Xenopus tropicalis: one gene and its partners. The protein of the gene in region 2 purifies or fractionates together with the protein of the main gene of each other region. This does not show direct contact. Links are inferred from orthologs where the notes say so. Each region holds a gene or a part of one and is shown on either strand. Other genes may lie near its edges.

Region 1 (6,634 bases), on a different chromosome or scaffold from region 2:
GTCTGAAACAAACATTTGTACTTTTCAGAGTGTAATATATCTAAAAACAATTTTACTGCAGTTCCCAAAGATACATTAAAAAATAAAAGGGGTAAAGTTATGGTTTGAATAACCAACCTTTAGGCTGAATCGTTATAAAGAGACATACATCTTTTATTGCTGCCCTTCTTTTGTGCCAGACAAGTAGGAAATAAAAGTAGCTGCTCTTCATCTCCTCACATGTGCCATTCACTTGGAGATCTGGTATATCGGCAGATTAGATTTAACTGAATCGCCGGTACAGGTATGGAAAGCTTTATGGTGGATACTGAATACAAGATGTTGGACAAAAACACAATTCCAACATTCCTAAAAAAGTGACACATGCTTGTTTTGCAACAGATACCTTACATTTTAATAGGTTTGAATTATACTGCCACCATTCTGAGAAAAGGAAATTCTTTACTGAACAATGCACCAGTGTGACTTTTTTTTATTTAGATTGTTGGATTGTTATACATCAATCTCACTAGGAAACAGTAACAAACATAAATTATTAGCTACTATGTAAGAATTCTTTCCAAAAAATGCAAAGAACATGGTAAAAAATACATTCTTTACTGCCAAATTATGTAATATACACTAGCCTATACTGCTAAGAATATTTCAGTATCTTTTACTGGAAAGTATTGTGCTGCATACATTTCAATATTGCTACATTAACCATTGTGCCTTAAACACACAAAAGTATATGAAAGTGCAGCAAATTTTATTCATGAGTGAATGCTGTCATGTTACTTCCCTGTGCTAAAGAATTCTTAATACAAAAAAAATAACACCATCAACTAACATCGACCAACAGAGCTGCATTATTTAAGTAAAGCTTAACATACATTTAAAGATTTGTTGTTTTGGCAAAGTCGAACTCATCATTTGATAAAAATACTTCTTATATAAAATACCTCATACTCCCACAGCAATAAATAGACCATGGGTGGGTTTTAAAACTCTAAACTCACATTTTGATAAATTTGCCACTAAATCTGTGAATACAGTAATGAACATATATTGTCATTGAAAGGGAAAGATATGAAGTACAGGTATCAGATCTATAATTGAAAATGCTTGTTATGTGGGGTTTTCTGTAATTTTTAAGTTTTTACTTGATTGAAAAAAAAAAATATATGAAAATAACACAAAAAAAAAAACTTCTCGTCAAAATATTACATTAAAAGTTACCTATAGGTCATGATTGTTACTTGAAGTTCCTAAACCTGACTGTTTTGCTGACCTGACTGTCCCTACTCAACCTGTCAATTAGTGCTAATGGACAACTGCTCCACCAATATGGCATCCCCCTCAAAGAGGAACATAGGGGATCACAGAGGTAATATAAAAGCATCTGGCAAATACTGTTATCCTTAAATTATAAACACCATGCAAAGATATAGTTGTAAAAAAAGTTTAATTTCTGATGTCATTATCTCTTCAAGGCAAGGAGAAAAATGGGCTCAAGTATTTTCGGAAACCTTGGTCTGGGTTTTTTAAAGGGGAACTCCTGCATCAGAACCACAATTTGTTAAAGAGCACCACACAACAACAAAAGCCCTAATATATCACTGTAATCTGTTTCTTCAAAAAGTATGAATAAATACAATTTGGGGAGGAGGGAGTAAAACATTGATATTTCAATTGGTAACAACTTCTCCGCAGTTTACAGACAGTATGCAGGAACTTTATAACCCACAATGTTTACTTTTAAAAATGGTTAAGATGTGTTTAGGTGGAGTTCCCATTTAAAAAAAAAAAACAAACAAAATCACAAGTAAAACTTAAAAACTTATTATTTTATTTTTCCAATTTATTAATACATTCAAGATTTTCAGCCTCATTGAAAATGAATTGAACAATGTGATGACATGCAACTCTTTTTTTTTCCACGACAAAACGAGAACTCAACCCAGAGGGGGGAAAAACCCAAGATCACAGAAAAAAAGTTGGCCATATTTTGATTTTTGTCACCACGCTCAGTGGAACCTTCAGGTTCAGCCTGAAGGTCATTTAAGTTTAAAGATGATTGTTTCATAGCTGAACTATAGAAGTGTAATTGTTTTGACAGTAATATTAAGCCTACAAGAGTTAACTGCATTTTGGTTTGCATGTATTATCATTCCAAAGAACAATAATACAGTTTTATTAATTATCCCTATGCTTTGCTATGAATGTGTTTTTCACTCGCCCAAAACCCTGAAATGAAACAGACAGGTCTATGCATATGTGTGTTTGGTCTTAGCAAGTTTTTTTAAGGTGTAGAATGCGACCACAGGTTTGGGATGCATTATCCAAAATCCAATTATGCAAAAATCTCCAAGGGATGGCCATCTCCCATAGAAGCCATTTTAAGCAAATAATTTTAATTTTTAAAAGTAATGTCCTATTTCTCTGTAATAATAAAACAGTACCATGTACTTAGTCTTGCTGCATGAATGCTTTGGTGGAAAACAATCATATTGGGTTTATTTAATGTTTAAATTATTTTTTTTGGAGACAATGCATGGCGATTTAAATTATAAAATGACCCCTTATACAGAAAACCACAGGCCCCACGCATTCCAGGTAATAGTACAGTACCTGTACTGTAAATGGGTAAGTTCTAATTTGCTCCCTTGCATCATCAAGCATGCATGAGGCCCAATAGTCAAGGTTTGGAAAATTTGGGACAACATAAAAGCATGATGTTCTGTTTACAGTACCAAATTGGCCTTCCTTTAAACAATGCGCTACTGCTAGCACTTTCACCAAAGGATATAACTAGTTATTTCCTGTGTACGGAAGCTAGAAATGTAGGGGTGAAGACACAGTGGGCTACTAGAGCAGCAAGTTTTTCAAGGCTACTAAACTCCAGAAAATACCCTGCCATAGACAATACTGAGTATTGCCTCTGCTAAAACACACGTAGAGACAATTATCAGTAAATGATCAGCGTTGCCTTTTTAGTAGCCACAACAAGTAGCTGCGTCTTCACCCTAAGGGTTCTGGCACACGGGGAGATTAGTCACCCGAGACTAATCTCCCCGAATTGCCATCCCACCGGCGAAAATGTAAGTCGCCCGTGGGATGGCACAAGATTTCGGCAAATCGGCAAAGTTGCCTTGCGAGGCATTTTTGGCGATTTTCCAAAATCGCGCTGCCACGTGTGCCATCCCACCGGCGACTTACATTGTCGCCGGTGGGATGGCAACTGATGGCAACTCGCCCGCGACAAATCTCCCTATTCGCGGGCGACTAATCTCCCCGTGTGCCAGAACCCTAAATGTTACAAATCTCAGCATGCGAAATACAGATTAATGAAAAAAATGGCAAATAAACCATGACATAATTACCATAGCAAAGACTCCTTAGTATGAAATGGGAACAGTACAGAAAGAACAAATTTTAAGCATCTTTTATATACATATATATGAAAGATGCTAACAATTTCATGTTTCAAATTTAGAACACACATATATATATATATATATATATATATATATATATATATATATATATATATATATATTTTAATATGTTCTTTAAAAAAAAAAGTATCTGTTAAACATAACCATGTGCAACTCACCTGTCGGAAGCTGCAGACTGTGTTCCACTCATTGGGTCCCTCTGGGATGGTATTATTTTTTACTTCACCAAGCAAACTTACATCTTATTTTAAATGTCATTAATTCTTCAATTTTGGAAAGTGTACACCTGCCTTAAAATAGAGTCTGAAAAAGAGTAAGTTGGGCTGTTGAGGATTCCAAGTTGCCATAAAGAACACTAGGCACCGGTAAGATGATGAAGATCTACAGCATGATTTGCCAGCGTCTCTCAGTGTGTTGTACTGACGGCCAACACGTTTTCACCCAGATATGGAAGTTTGCAACTCTGGAGCAGCGGTGCAGCTTTCATTAGTATCGAAACCAACCCCAAAAAAGTGGTGACAAAAGTACAGTACTTGGAGATAAGGAGAGGTATGTCTGAAGCGGTCAACGCGGCTGATGATTTCAATGTAGAATACTGAAGAATGCTGAAGTGACCTCAGTCATGCATAGGTATATATTGTTACGTACTATAACTAAAGAACTAAGCAAAAGCACCTAATCGTCAAAATTATTGCCTTTTAATTCCGAATGAATCACAAATGAGGTAGGGTTGAGCATTTTCTTAGCCTAACACTTAAATGACAACTACAGGGGGTCGCACCGCCTTCAGAATAAGTACTATACTCATACCGACCAAAGGTCCCGCCTTTCGCGGGACAGTCCCGATTTTCTTAACAAAACCTGCAGTCCCGTATCGCTGCTAAACGTTTCGCAGCGCCATTACTGTCCTGCTCCTCGGCTCCTGCCTGACAGCTAATCCCAACGTCACGAATCTCATCTCGCGAGACGGGGCGTCACAACTATACGTATGGAAGCGCGGTGACGCAGCACGTAACTGGGGGGGCCAGTGACGAGTAGCGACGGAGGAATTTAGTTTTCCACAATTATAACTTTTTAATTATACGCGGGACTCTTTGCTCGATACAGCATTGTGCGAGTTCGTACTGACAATTCGTGTTTCTGTTCGGCTGGCAGTTCTTACTTATGTCAGGAAAAAATAAAACTATTTTCCCTGGTGTTTGCCAGCAATACCTTCTGCCAGCAGAGCCTCAGCTCCCAAAACTGGCCACAGCTGAATAATCTATTGTTTTTGTCTGGTCTTAGAACTTATGCTTGTGCCAGGGAGCTGGGAGAGGCACTTTGTTTTTGCCATAGTGGGTGTGGGCAGAACCCCAACACTGAATTTGCTTCTGTTGATCAGCTAGTGCCCCTGTCAGCAGAAAACTGCACTGGCTCCGTTTAGCTGTATGCTCCTTTCATTTTTCTTTGTGATCCCGGAGCTGTACAATATAGGTATGGGATCCCGTTATCCAGAAAGCTCCGAATTATAGAAAGCCCGTCTCCCATAGACTTCATTTTATTCATATAATTCAGAATTCTAAAACTGATCTCCTTTTTCTCTGTAGTAATAAAACAGTACCTTGTACTAAGATATAAATAATCCTTATTGGGTTCAATACAATCCTATTGGGTTTAATTAATATTTTATTGATTTTTTAGTAGACAAGGTATGGGGATCCAAATTATGGAAAGACCCCTTTTCTGGAATACCCTTGGTCCTGAGCATTCTGGATAACGGGTCCTATACCTGTACAGTGACAAAGACGGCTTTTTTTGTTAAAGTTCGGCTTTTCACTCACAGGTACCCTGGGCCGGTGCAGATTTCTGCTAATGGGAGAACCACCCTGGGGTGCCTAACATTTTGGCACCCCCCACTGATTATACCTTTCCTTCTCCTTTAACTCCCTTCTGTGCCCGCCTCTGCATCCTCCGCCCATTACTGTAACTGCCTAAGACCTTGCTCATTTTTTTAAGGACAAAATTTACTTTATTAGATAGAGCATACCATTTGATGACAGTCTCAAATTAGCTTGCAGTTCACTCACCTCCACTTTAAACTCTCACCCCTGAAACATGATATGAAGTTAGCAAACTTCTAGCTCTAACCCCAAAACATATTCCGTGGACCCCATACCTTCTCCCCTCCACCCTATTTCTGATACACTCAGCCTTGCACTTACCTATTTAACCTTTCACTTTTTACTGGTACTTTCCTTTTGTCAAACAAACAAGCACTAATCACTCCCTCTCGGCAGCCTGACATAGTTGACCACCCATTCTTCCTAGATGTTCTGTACTCAGTTGGCATTCATGACACTGCTCTTAATCTATACAACTTCTTCTGCTTTAACATATTTCCCTTGATTTTACATTTTCCTGGATTTTACACCATTTTTTCTGCCACCTCTTTAAAACAGGGTTTCCGCTGTAATGATTTAGAAGAAACAAAACAATTATCATGTACAAGGCCCACAGAAAAGATGGCTGCGGCCCCTCCATTAGGCAGCAAAACAGAGACCAAAAAAAGATTGAATAGATAAATAACAAATATAATACGGATCATTTATGAATACAACGCAGTATGGAAAGTGCAGTTTTTCCCACAATGAAGATTTTTTTCCTACAATTCCAGAGTCATTGCAGCCACATGCTGAGTTGCACTGTGCACAAAGTGACAAAGTGCTTGCTACTAATACCTTGCACATTGCAACAAATTGGGTGTTAATGGCAATAGTTTTGCATATAGTTTAATAACAGCGTTAGCACCTGAAATCCTTGAAGCCAATTGGTATCAGCAATTACTGTGTGGACCTTAGAATTCCAGGGTTCTTATTATCAATTGGCACCTGGCACAAGTACAGGTAAGTGCAAGGAGAGTCGGCACAAGAACCTTTGAAAATCGGGGGTACTAACTGGAAAAGGGGTGCATGAGGGGTGTGTAATTAGAGCAGAGTGAGGTACAAAGTGCTTGGGAACTCATTCCCTAGGGTGGGGTCACTGGTCTGGGGTCTGCTACTCATATCAGCGCACACAGTGGTGTCCACATGCCTGGGGTTTGCTACTTATTTCAGTGCTTGCAGCAGGGGTACATACTATATAAAGAATGACCACCTAAAGGCAGGGCCTGCAGTGTGGAATGCTTGAGTGGCCACCACTCTATCTTGTAAAAAGTGTGT
Region 2 (5,929 bases):
ACCACTGACTGCTTTGAAAAGTAACATGAAATATGGTATTAGATATAAGAAGGCTATTCGAAGGATGGATGGGGATGGATAGGTATGGCATGCTAAGGCTCAGAGCTGTGAGGCAGCCCGCTGTTGGCCACAAAAGCAGAGCAGTCAACCTGCCAGGGGACAAATGTGATATACAAACCCACAAAGGCAAAAGTGACATCACTGTGCATGCATGCTTAAAGCCTCTAAATGCCCCCTGTGCTGTAAAACTGGGGAAATTTGGTATGGAGGCTGGATACTGGGGGGGAAGGGGCCAAAAACAGCTAACTCCCGACAAAATCGTGAAAGGGTACAGGGTCGGACTGCAGGGCTCCCACTCCAGGGGCCCTGCAGGTGCTTGATGCCCCCCTCGCAAGGCCCCCCACCTGACGTCCTCCCCCGAGCGTGTAAATTTAATGCGTCAGGGCAGGAGCGGTCGGGCAGGGGGACCGCCGGCAAGAGTCGGGTTGACAGCTCTGCAGGAGTAATTGCTCACTACAACTGGCATACAGTATATCCACTTATTTGGAGTAATGTAATGAAAGTTTGCTACTGGTCTAATCACCCATAGCAACCAAAACTAGAATTAACAGGTCACCTGTTTCAAACATGTTACTGGTTACTATGTGTTACTGCACCCAGCAAATGTTATGACTTTTATTATAAATTAGGGCACGCCTCTTTCATGACTGATTTTTAAAAATAAAATAAAATAAAAACTATAGGGAAGCAAGTGTCTTGCTATATGACTGATATTTTGCTATGATTCTAGGCCATTTAGGTCACAGTGATTTGAGACAAGAAAGGTTAGAAAGGCAAAGAATACAAATAAATAGTTTAAAAGCAAGAAAGTGTAGGTAAACTGCATATAATTAGTAAAAGATCTTGTATCTGGGATGTTTGGGATCTGCAGTTTTCTGGATATGAGGTCTTTCCATTATGCAGATCATCAGCCTTAAAGCTACTTTAAAATACTGAAACTTTAGAAATGAAACAGATTTGTGGTAGTTCAGTTATCATTAAGTATAAAGTATTATATTTTAACTATAGAGAAAGAGCTAAGGAGTCAAGAATGAAAAATTACTTGTTGAAAAACTGGAAAATGCTATTGGCGTATTTTGAATAAAGGATTCCTGATAACAGATCCCTTACAGACATGCGAAAACTGCCCAGTACTAATTATAAGTGGATACAAATGAAAATTTGGTGGTGATGTTAGTGATTTATGACTAAACAATATATTATTTGTCTGAAGTGCCCATATACTAAATATCCTCCTGTGGCATTAATTTGAAGCTATTCCACAATTAAAGGTGGCCATGCAACAGCCCTTTGTGACTTATCAGTCAGTGTTTGGGGGGCTTCAAGCATCCTGACCACTCTGCTCTATTGGGCATGCTAGAAAATGCCATAGATTTATAACTGCATCAGCGTGTTGATGTGGTTTTCCCTCAGCAGGTCTCAGTAGGCCCCTATAATGTTGGCTTCCAGGCCAACAATCGGATAATAAAAGGAGCCAATGGAGACCCATTGAGGGAGAACACCAGTAGTTGTATAGCTAAAGAAAACAAAAAAATGAATTGTGTGGACCAGATGCATTTTGTGACACTCTATGAGAGGAAATTCATTCCAAACTGTTCATGTGGAAAATACCCAAATCTGCATATTAAACAGGAACATTATAAACAAATTGATAGAGTAAAAAGAATGTGGAATGCAGTGATGGCTTTGTGTTAAGACAGAGCAATTACAGAACATGCATTTTATTTTGCTCTGGTATCCTCTGGGAAGTGATGATTTCTTCACATGAAATGCTTTTAGTAAACTGCCATCTTCGGGGACCACTCAAGTTATGTTAGAAAACACTGATCTACACAATGTTTCACAATGCCAGGAGCTGCGCAGGGACTGTCTTCAAAATATTTACAAAGTTAGATTAACAAACCTGTTTTCTTCACTAATGAGAATGTTAGGCTAATTAAGCACAGAGGTTTTAACGGGCCACCAGTCAACATATTTCTAATTTACATTGCATATTTAGACACATTTGTTCTGGATTGTATTTTATTGCCCTCTATTACTTTAAACGATCAAATGTTTGCTCAGTTTGTTATATCACAACCTTTTAAGTACATTATTTGTATCCTTAATTAATCTGTACGGCAAAAAAAGAAAACTGCAATTAGATGAATGTTTTAGAAGATTGGCTACATAAATGCCTTACAGAGCAATATGTATACACAGCACTGACACTGCAGAACACAAAAGCCAGTATCATAACCCACAGGGGATGATGGGAGTTGTAGAGGCGGCGTATTGCTTGAATCAAGTTTTACTCTTGATCTTAGTAGGTAAACAAGGAAACGGCTGGATTTGTATTTCTGCAGTGTACACTATACAGATCATATACCTAGAGATGCAATGTCGGAAAAGACTCAAATACGGGGACTGGGGAAAGGGGGAAAGGAAACCATAGAAGCTTGAAGAAATGCATATTTTTCTAGTGCAAAATAACAAAACGCTAATATAACTAAAGGAAACCACAGAATCTGGAAACTGAAAACCTCTTAATTTAATCCCTTTGGTACTGGAAGGCATCAAAATGCATTTTATGCCCTTTTTCAGGGCTAAAGAAAGTAGGGATTAAAGCAGCATTGTGTTGCACAGGGACATCTAGACTAGTTTATGCTGTAAGGTTAATACATTCACAGCAAAATGACTAGAAGCTCTGTATAATGTGAATAAATTCATTCCACATCCAAGAGTTGAAATCTCAGAGAAAGTTCAGCAAAGTCACTTTTACAAAGTAAAGAAATGTTACTTGCTGCAGCCCTGAGCCTGAGATGTAAAGGCCACACTGTGCTGCTTTATGGCAGCTGAACTTCTACTTCACTGCAAGTGTAAATGACTTGAATCCAATCTATTTCAGCTCCCTGCAGTGGGTTACTTACGGGTAATTCCCCACCATGCTGATATCTTGCCTCTTCAGCTGGCATGCTTTCCCCTTTTGCAATGATTATTTAGTGCTTAAGTGTTTAGAGTTTTCATACCTAGCTGGCAGAAATTCACGGACTAAATTAAGAAAACAGTACACCCCGCAAGAAATAATTCAGACCTGTAACCCCAGATAAAAAGCCACCCCCCCACTATAAAATGTAATTTGTTATTTTCAAATGAATAGTAAATTTGTCATTTTACATTGTCTTTACTAAGGTGACCCATTTTGAATATCTCTGATTTACATAGTTAAAGGGGTTGTTCACCTTTGTGTTACATTTTAGTATGATGTATAGAGTGCCTTGGTCTTCATTTTTTATTATTTGTGTTTTTTTTAATTATTTCACTTTTTGTTCAGCAGCTCTCCGGTTTGGAATTACAGCAGTTATCTGGTTGCCAGGGTTCAAATTATCTTAGCAACCAGGTAGTGGGTTTGAATGAGAGACTGGTATATGAATAGGAGAGGAAAAATAAGTAATAAAAGGTAACAATAACAATAAAACTTTAGCCTCACAGAGCAATCATTTTTTGGCTGCTGGGGTCAGTGACCCCCATTTGAAATTTGGAAAGAGTCAGAAATAATTGAAAAACTATAAAAAAAAAAAAAATAAGTAATGAAGACCATTTGAAAAGTTGCTTTGAATTAGCCGTTCTATAATATACTTAAGGTGAACCGCCCCTTTAAGTTATATTAGGCAGCCTTTTTGCACTGCCCTATTTCTCCGATTTTGGCTGAGAAACAAAAGAAACATTAGCGGACAGATTTTTTTTTCTAATGGGCATATATATATTTCTCAGTAGCCCGCAATGAGAGTGATTTACCTGCGCAATGCAGAGTCTGGCCCATCCTCATTTATCAGCTCTGCCTCGCTCTGTGCAATCCTCATAGCAAGCTCCCGATCCCTTCGCTCTTGTTCAAGTATAGCCTGCTGCTGAGATTCCTCTTCCCGGTCCCGAGCCAGTTGCATCTCCACTTCAGCCTACAAACAGACCATTTTATTGCAGCCATCACATTCTGCCCTCAAACTATTTTCTTCCAATCAAATTGTTTATACCCTGGATACACATAAAGCAAATGTTTCCTAGCACAGAACTTCTATCTGTATTTACTCTTGGCTTTATGAGCAAGGTTTATAGATGCAAAAGTTATATATATATAAGCTTATACATATACCAAGGGCATTCCAGTCAAAGCATTTATCTGAATGAAAGTTTAAGCTGCTTTTTTGACACAGAACATAATTTCAAACTGACAGATCTCAAATGTACTTCTTGAACTGAAGCACAGCTACTGCAAGGGTCAAACTGAATTAATGGGAAAGCTGTTACACCCAAGTCATCCTTCTCTGTCACCTGGGAAATGGTGTAGAGGCTGCTGAAACAAATTTTGCCTGGTATCAGCCTTACAAAACCAGTTACTGTTACAGTTACTTTTATTTTAGAAAGATTATAGTTTTTTTCTGTATTAAAGTCTAGTTTTGAGTTAAAAGTTAATTAACCGGTGAAGTTGCCGATTCCTATGCTGATCCTTTTTAACAAGGAACTGTCTCCTGGGTGGCCATAACACACCTGTCTGGCTTTCCAAAATAAATGCAATTTTCAATTGTTAAATTTAATGAACAATAATAGCAATAATTTGAGTATAAGATGAGTTATCTGGAAATCCATTATCCAGAAAGCTCTGACTAGCAGGAAGGCCACAGACATTTTAAACAAATCGGAAGGTCTACCCCATTAGTAATTTAAAATTCAGTCTCAACACCAGTCCTTATTTTTACCATACAATCCCTAGTCTTTTATTCCTTAGATATCTTTGTTTGATGATTACACTTGATTGGATGTTTATTGCAAACTAACCTGAATTCGCTTTTCTTCTTCTTCCCTTTTTTTCCTCTCTTCTTCTTCTTGTTTTCTTTTTGCTTCTATCTCGGCCTTTCTGCATAAGAAGAAATAAACATGTCGCGTCAGGCTTTAGCTCCGATCAAAGAACATAAACAGAACTGCAATGCTAAAAGCACTAAGGTGCTGTATGGGGTTACTCACAGACGCCTCTCATTTTCTTCTTTCCTGCGAAGCTCCTCTTCAGCTTCACGCCTTTTCCTCTCCCTTTCCATTTCCTCCTGAATTTTGTGCAGACGTTCAGCCTCTTCTTCTTCTTTCTTTCTCTTTTGCAGAGAATTAAGGAGCTGACCAGAACTCTTGACCAGATTATCATATTCTCTTTCTATCTGCTCCCGGGTCATAATAGTGTTCTGTAAACAAAATTTAAAATATGAAAAGAATGAATGATTTACAAGATTGTGCCATTTCAGCAGGTAGACAAGGCCGTTTGTAAGCTAGCACAGTTCACACTGTTGGGGTTATGATGCGGAAATATGGACTGCGGGGTAACTTTAATAAATAATGTGGCGTTCTTTAAATGGCATCACTGATGTGATAAGTGGTAGGCTTTGCTAGTGGGCATCAGCTGCTTTTTAATGGGCAGAGAAAATAATGAGGATGGCTCGATGATTTTAAGTGGGTATAGAATAAGTTTACCATATTTTTAAAGAGCAATCTGGGGACACCTATAAAACTGTGGTAGGGCACCCATGCATACTTTATGACGCCTCTTTCTGGACTACACCCAGTCAAGGCCATGGCCGTTAAGTTCCATTTAATAAAAACAAAAATTAAATATGTTAGCATAAATATCAATGCGAAAGCAGCTCCCTGACAGCAGAATTGTGGGGAGGCTGATCCAAAAAAAGAGATATTCTTTAGCCAATTGCAGCTGGTGGGAATTCAGTACAGGAACACTTCTCACTGAGGACTAAGGTATAGAATTCATGTTGCCAAAGTGCAGTAGTTCCTGTGCTGAGATTTAGGGCACAAACGAGTTGAAACACAAACCTGCTAATAACATTTCATAGTT
Region 3 (6,676 bases), about 9.9 Mb from region 2:
ACAAGAAACCAGAGATTGGAAGTGGGCATAATTTATACTGGCGGTACAGCAGCGAAGTTGTGCACTAACACATACTAACTGATAATATAAAAGGACCATCTTGTGTAACAAAAGAAGATAGCAAATAGCATGCAGAACAGATAGCAACAACTATCATTAGAGAAGGGATAGCTACCCCATCTGTGATCCTCTTGGAATCCAAGCAGTCTGTGGCCATGCTTCCTGCTCTCTGCAGCAGATTCCAGCACATAAGGTAAGAATGTTGTCACTGCTAACCAGCACTTTTGCTGGCTTCCACTGCAACAGTAGGGAGCAAAGCCACTAACCATTTGATTTTCAAAAGAATCACTGATCCTGAGGTAGATGCAATTGGGGAACCTAATGGCTATATCTTCTAAATAGTACAAAATAAATAAATATATATATACATGATTTTAAAAGATTTCTGAAAAGCATTACTACTCCTTTAAAATGGCCAATGACTGAAATATTTTACAGCATTCTGTTTGCCAGTCAATCTCAGGCACCCAAAGGTACAGCCTAATCCTTCACTTTCTCTATCCAACTCCTAATGAGGTCAACCGACTACAATGTTGCCACAGACTGTCCAGACACACCACCCCAGTCTACTGTAGCTATCTGTTGCAAGCATATTGTAATCATCTCTTGCCTTCGCTGTATTAAGAAGACAAACCTGTGTTTATCTTGCAATATCATTATTGTGTCATAACCATAAAAATGTTTCTATTCTCTGTACCAAAACCTAAGGATTACTGAATTCTTCTTTAAAGGAACAGTAACACCAAAAAATGAAAGTGTATAAAAGTAATTACAATATAATGTACTGTTGCCCTGCATTGCTACAACTGGTGTGTTTGCCTCAGAAAGACTACTATAGTTTATATAAGTAAGCTGCTGTGTAGCCATGGGGGCAGCCATTCAAAGGAGAAAAGGCACAGGTTACTTAGCCGATAACAGACAAACCCCCATTATATGGGGCTTATCTACTAGTTATCTGCTATGTAACCTGTGCCTTTTCTCCTTTTTTCCAGCTTGAATGGCTGCCCCCATAGCTACACAGCAGCTTATTTATATAGTAGCTTTTCTGTAGCAAAAACACCATTTTTTTTTTTTTGCAAAGCAACAGCACATTATATTTTAATTACTTTAAAACAATTTAATTTTTTGATGTTACTGTTCCTTTACATAATCAGTGAGAAGAATGGTACTAGTACTGGTGCTGCAGGTGCACTGCAACCCAAAACATTTGTAACAGTCCACTCAATTCCTAAAGAATTGCAACTTGTGAATTTTCCTGTAATTTTTTATTAAACAAGCAAACAAAAATATTTCCGACATAGGACCCTTCATCAGAATACCCTGCCACTGTACAATAAAACACATAGATAGAATCTTCTGCATAAATCGCTGTGTCTATATATTTATATTTTTCTATCATTGGGAGATGAAAAGGTAAAACTTAAGACTGTTTAGTCCACAGACTTTAGTTCAGTTGCGACATTATTAAAAGGGAAAAATATGTAGATTTACAATGAGTTACATTTTGAACAAATCCGAAAAGAGCCAAAAACATCAAAAGAAATTTATATTTGTATACCAGCCAGAATTAGTCTGGAACGAACGGTCAAATGCAGTATATACTGCAAAAGTTAATGTGTTTTATTTTAACACTAAAACTCTTTTTCAGGTGTGACATTTGTAGTATATAAGGCTTCATTGGATGGAAGCATTGGAGAGGTCCTAAAGCACAGTACTGAATCTACTCACCCTGGTTATTATGATTTATATTAATTACTTCAATATATAATTACTTATTATATATTATTATATTATATTAATTACTTATATATATAAGCTCCTTTGTATATCTGCATGGCTTTCCTCTCATACACCAAAAACATACATACAGGCAGGTTATTGCCTTCTGTCTTAACTGACCACAGTATGTGTAAAGCTGGCCATACACGTGGCGATCTCACGATGTTTCGTACGACCGTCGGTCGCACGAAACATCGTCAGATCCGCCACACACCATTCAGGGCTGAATCGGCAGGTAAGGAGGTAGAAACAATAGGATTTCTACCTCCTTCTGCCGATTCAGCTCTGAAGGGAGAATTTTGGTCAGGCGCCTTCTATGGCGCCCGATCAAAATTTTCTAACTTGGCCGATCGGCGAGCCGACCGATTTCAGCAGCTTCCTGCGATATCGGTCGGCTCGCTGACATGCCATACACGCACCGATTATCGTACGAAACGAGGTTTCGTACGATAATATCGGTGCGTGTATGGCCACCTTTAATGTGACAAGGAACTAAGATTGTAAGGTCCTCTGGGGCAGGGACTGGTGTGAATGAAGTATAATCTCTGTAAAATGCTGTGGAAATGTGTCACAGCTCTATTAATAACATGGGAAAAAACTCTGTGCATTATTTCAGCTATAGGTACTACCAGCCACTTAGGGGACCATAGGGCAGAGGTACACGGGGAGATTAGTCGCCCCACAATGCCATGCCTCCGACTAGAATGTAAATCGCCGGTGGGATGGCATATGCGTCGCTACGACTGTGAGACACTGCAGCGACACCTGCAATTTACTTTCTAGCAGGAGGGATGGCATTGCGGGGAGATTTGTGGCAGGGCGACTAATCTCCTCGTGTACCCCTGCCATTAAGACAGCCAACACTGAGCAGAATAGCACAGTTCAACATTCTTTTTACTAAAACGTTGCGTCTAAACCTTTATGGTTATGTATGGAGTCACATAGACCTGCATTCTCTACTGAAACATGCTTGTTAGAACATGCTCATGAGGTATTTTGCACATCCCACTGGTAACATTACACAGTATATGGCTTTCTATGTACGACATAACTCCTGAGCTATATCATTATAACTGATAAAACCACAAACCTTTATCCGTGGGGTTATGTATTCCCAAGCCAGTCCCCAGAGCCAGACACCTGTCACAGAGACAGACGGGCCCAGGCACTCCCTACCTGCCATATTCCTCTCTGCCAAGTTCACCCCTCTCTCTCTTGTAGCTCCTCTAACCAGGTCCCATTGCCTGTGGCACAAGCAACCCCACCGTCACACACAAATGTAACTCAATGGCTGGAATCGCCTCCCCCCCCCCCAGCCCGCGCTGCCTGTCACACAGTAACACATCCCCTACTCGAGTTTGTTTCTACAGTAAACGTATTGCGTTATTTTATGCAATTCTCCAGGTTACATGATGTAGAGGCTCTCCGGCTGTTTTTGGGCTAGACTTTGGTTGTCAGGGGATTCTGGGAGGTGTAGTCCAACAAAAACTGAAGTGGCAATGGCCGGACATCCAGACTATCAATAAGGCAAAGAAATGTATACTTTATCCCTCACCGGCTTGGGTGGTGTCGCTGAGGTCGTGCTGGACTGCACTCCGCGGAAACTCTCTCAGTTTCCTGCCACTCAGGTTAAGGACCCCGGTCACCGACGCTTCCTCCAATGCCCTCTCCAAAGAACGGTTCCATGCAGCCGGCCCTGCGCCCACTCCGGCCCCCGACGCTGCTCCATGGCTGTTGTGATTAATCCCAGAATAACCAGACACTACCGAGCCCTCGGCCAACACAGCGGCCGCCATAACACCGACTCCAATTTGCGCTTGCGCTGCCAGACTGACAGGAAGCGGGACACATGGGCGGGACTGGTGCTTAAGGCGCATGCGCTCCCGTAGAGGGGGAGGGAGAGATGGGGAGACCGCTCCTCAGAGCTGCGTATGCGCGTTGAGGGGACCAAAAAAGGAATTTCCGTAGAACAGCCAGAAGACAATTAGAATTCGTTTAATAGTATCTTTCCTATTTGCCACTACTTTATTAGTGTAACTGAATTCCTCTTTTTGCGACTGATAATGAAAGTACATTTTCTGTTCACGTTCGTAGGGTAAGCACACGCTTAATAGACCTTGAGGGGTATCACGTAATATCCTCCTAGATATATAAACAATTATTTTTGAAGAAAATATTAGTTCTATGCCAGTTTACCAAAATGTAACAGTTTGGATAACATTTTGAATATGGACGCAAATGTCAATTTTATCTCCCACGTTATCTCCCCAGGAGAAATCATTTTTAAGTATAAATGGCTGGGGTCTTCTAAATAGTTCAACCCGAAGTATGTGTACAGTGCCAGACTGGGGCACCCAGGGCCCATCTCCGCACTACCACATATACTGGCCAATGGTAATCTGGCCAACTGCACACTGGGGTGGTGGGGCCCACTGGGATTTTTCCTGGTGTCCCATAGGTCATTCTGACCCTGTATGTGGCATATAGAGACCAAATGAAAAAGTGCTAATATGCATATGAATTTTAATTGCTGCCAGTTGGGATGTGGCAAATACTGGAACTTTTTTCAAAGGTGTTTATTTATGCATTTGTAACATAAAACATTTGACATTGGTTCTACAAGCTTGTTCTTTTCATGTCAGGATATACAGCCATGGCCCAAATTGTTGGCACCCCAGAAATTTTTCCAGAAAATCAAGTATTTCTCACAGAAAAGTATTGCAGTAACATGTGTTTTGCTATACACATGTTTATTCCCTTTGTGTGTATTGGAACAGAACAAAAAAAAGAGAGGAAAAAAAGCAAATTGGACATAATGTCACACAAAACTGCAAAAATGGGCTGGACTAAATTATTGGCACCCTTAACTTAATATTTGGTTGCACACCCTTTGGAAAAAATAACTGAAATCAGTTGCTTCCCATAACCATCAATAAGCTTCTTACACCTCTCACCGGGAATTTTGGGCCACTCTTTGCAAACTGCTCCAGGTCTCTCTTATTGGAAGAGCGCCTTTTCCCAACTGCAATTTTAAGATCTCTCCACAAATGTTCAATGGGATTTATATCTGGACTCATTGCTGGCCACTTCAGAACTCTCCAGTGCTTTGTTGCCATCCATTTCTGGGTGCTTTTTGACGTATGTTTGGGGTCATTGTCCCAAGATCTCGGACCCAAACCCAGCTTTCTGACACTGGGCTGTACAGTGCGACCCAAAATCCTTTGGTAATCCTTAGATTTCATGATGCCTTGCACACATTCAAGGCACCCAGTGCCAGAGGCAGCAAAACACCCCCAAAACATCATTGAACCTCCACCATATTTCACTGTAGGTACTGTGTTCTTTTCTTTGTAGGCCTCATTCCGTTTTCAGTAAACAGTAGAATGATGTGCTTTACCAAAAAGCTCTATCTTGGTCTCATCTGTCCACAAGACGTTTTCCCAGAAGGATTGCGGCTTACTCAAGTACATTTTGGCAAACTGTAGTCTTGCTTTTTTATGTCTCTGTGTCAGCAGTGGGGTCCTCCTGGCTCTCCTGCCTTAGCGTTTCATTTCATTTAAATGCAGAGGGATAGTTTGCGCTGACACTGATGCTCCCTGAGCCTGCAGTACAGCTTGAAATTCTTTGGAACTTGTTTGGGGCTGCTTATCCACCATCCGGACTATCCTGCGTTGCAACCTTTCATCAATTTTTCTCTTCCATCCATTACAATGCCATGGGTTGCAAACTTCTTGATAATGTTGTGCACTGTGGACAAAGGCAAATATAGATCTCTGGAGATGGACTTGTTACCTTGAGATTGTTGATATTTTCCCACAGTTCTCTTCTCCTCTTTCTGTTGTCCATGCTTAGTGTGGCACACACAGACACACAATGCAAAATGCCTAACATTTTGGCACCCCTAAGTGACTTTGCCTTTCCTTCTCCTTTAAAAAGGAATTCCGCATTGCGATAATCATTTACGCTAGTCACAACAATTTGGTGTGTATGGGTGTGAAAACTTCTAAGTAAGTGTTCCAAGGCTGTGCAAAAGCCCCCCCTTAAAAGAAAATAACATTATATAGCTCTCAACTACTATGCCTTTTTGGGGAGCATAACATGCAGCACCAAATCTATTATTACATAAACCCTTCTGAGATTTTATTGCAGTCTTGTGGGATCACAAGCTGATGACATTGGCTATAATAAATTGTAGCCTCAAATAGGATTTTTTTTGTATGTGGCCCCTGACAACTAGAAAGAGACCAGATTTTAAGAATTCAGAAAGCTTAATAAACACTTCGACAAAATTTGAAGGTATTCATTATGGCCATATTTCCCTCACGTCCCTTGGCAGCACTTACTAGAGAGATGACTTCCACCTGGTAGGAAAACACCACACCCCCCAATTAATTACTCCACCCCCTCATCTCCTATAAGTCCCTCTGCTTCCCTCTAGCCCTCAGTGTTTTTTTCCTACCCAAGGGATTACACCATGTTTTTTTTTTTTTTATATATACCTGGGCGCCTTTCAGATGACTGGCCTCCAGAAATGCGTATGACCAGGGCGCCTTACAGATGTTTGTGCCCCCTGCGTGGTGGTGGACTTACCCTTACGCTTTCCCTGTGGGAATCAGGGCTGTTACCAGGTCGTCTATCAAATGATTGTGCCTCCTGTGTATTGTAACCGGCGGCTGCTGCACTCCTCTGTGTTCGGCAGGTGAGAGCGCGATGTGATGACGTCATCAGCGGCGCCGGTGGAACGCATGCAGGCGTTGGAACGCAAACGTCATATCCGGGAAAGGAATGCCGTTTTAAACCAGCAAGCATGGCGGATCATTGCCGCTCCCAGGGGTAC

The links. Proteins that work in one complex are often made in the same cells at the same time.
Region 1: the proteins of myo6 (region 2) and arhgef12 purify together in Homo sapiens (affinity purification with mass spectrometry; 4 studies listed by BioGRID and IntAct, counting the BioPlex papers as one, with this or other methods). This does not show direct contact. The link is inferred for Xenopus tropicalis from reciprocal best matches to the Homo sapiens genes MYO6 and ARHGEF12.
Region 3: the proteins of myo6 (region 2) and lrch3 purify together in Homo sapiens (co-immunoprecipitation; 3 studies listed by BioGRID and IntAct, with this or other methods). This does not show direct contact. The link is inferred for Xenopus tropicalis from reciprocal best matches to the Homo sapiens genes MYO6 and LRCH3.

The regions. Positions count from the first base shown.
Region 1 is NC_030683.2:78,917,549-78,924,182, forward strand, and holds the start of arhgef12 (rho guanine nucleotide exchange factor 12), read right to left. Parts: upstream 3,736-6,634; 5' UTR 3,628-3,735; coding exon 3,596-3,627; intron 1-3,595. UniProt on the Homo sapiens protein: May play a role in the regulation of RhoA GTPase by guanine nucleotide-binding alpha-12 (GNA12) and alpha-13 (GNA13). Acts as guanine nucleotide exchange factor (GEF) for RhoA GTPase and may act as GTPase-activating protein (GAP) for GNA12 and GNA13.
Region 2 is NC_030681.2:90,542,192-90,548,120, forward strand, and holds part of myo6 (unconventional myosin-VI), read right to left. Parts: intron 5,268-5,929; coding exon 5,059-5,267; intron 4,952-5,058; coding exon 4,873-4,951; intron 3,996-4,872; coding exon 3,838-3,995; intron 1-3,837. UniProt on the Homo sapiens protein: Myosins are actin-based motor molecules with ATPase activity. Unconventional myosins serve in intracellular movements. Myosin 6 is a reverse-direction motor protein that moves towards the minus-end of actin filaments.
Region 3 is NC_030681.2:100,434,408-100,441,083, reverse strand, and holds the start of lrch3 (DISP complex protein LRCH3), read right to left. Parts: upstream 3,736-6,676; 5' UTR 3,717-3,735; coding exon 3,395-3,716; intron 1-3,394. UniProt on the Homo sapiens protein: As part of the DISP complex, may regulate the association of septins with actin and thereby regulate the actin cytoskeleton.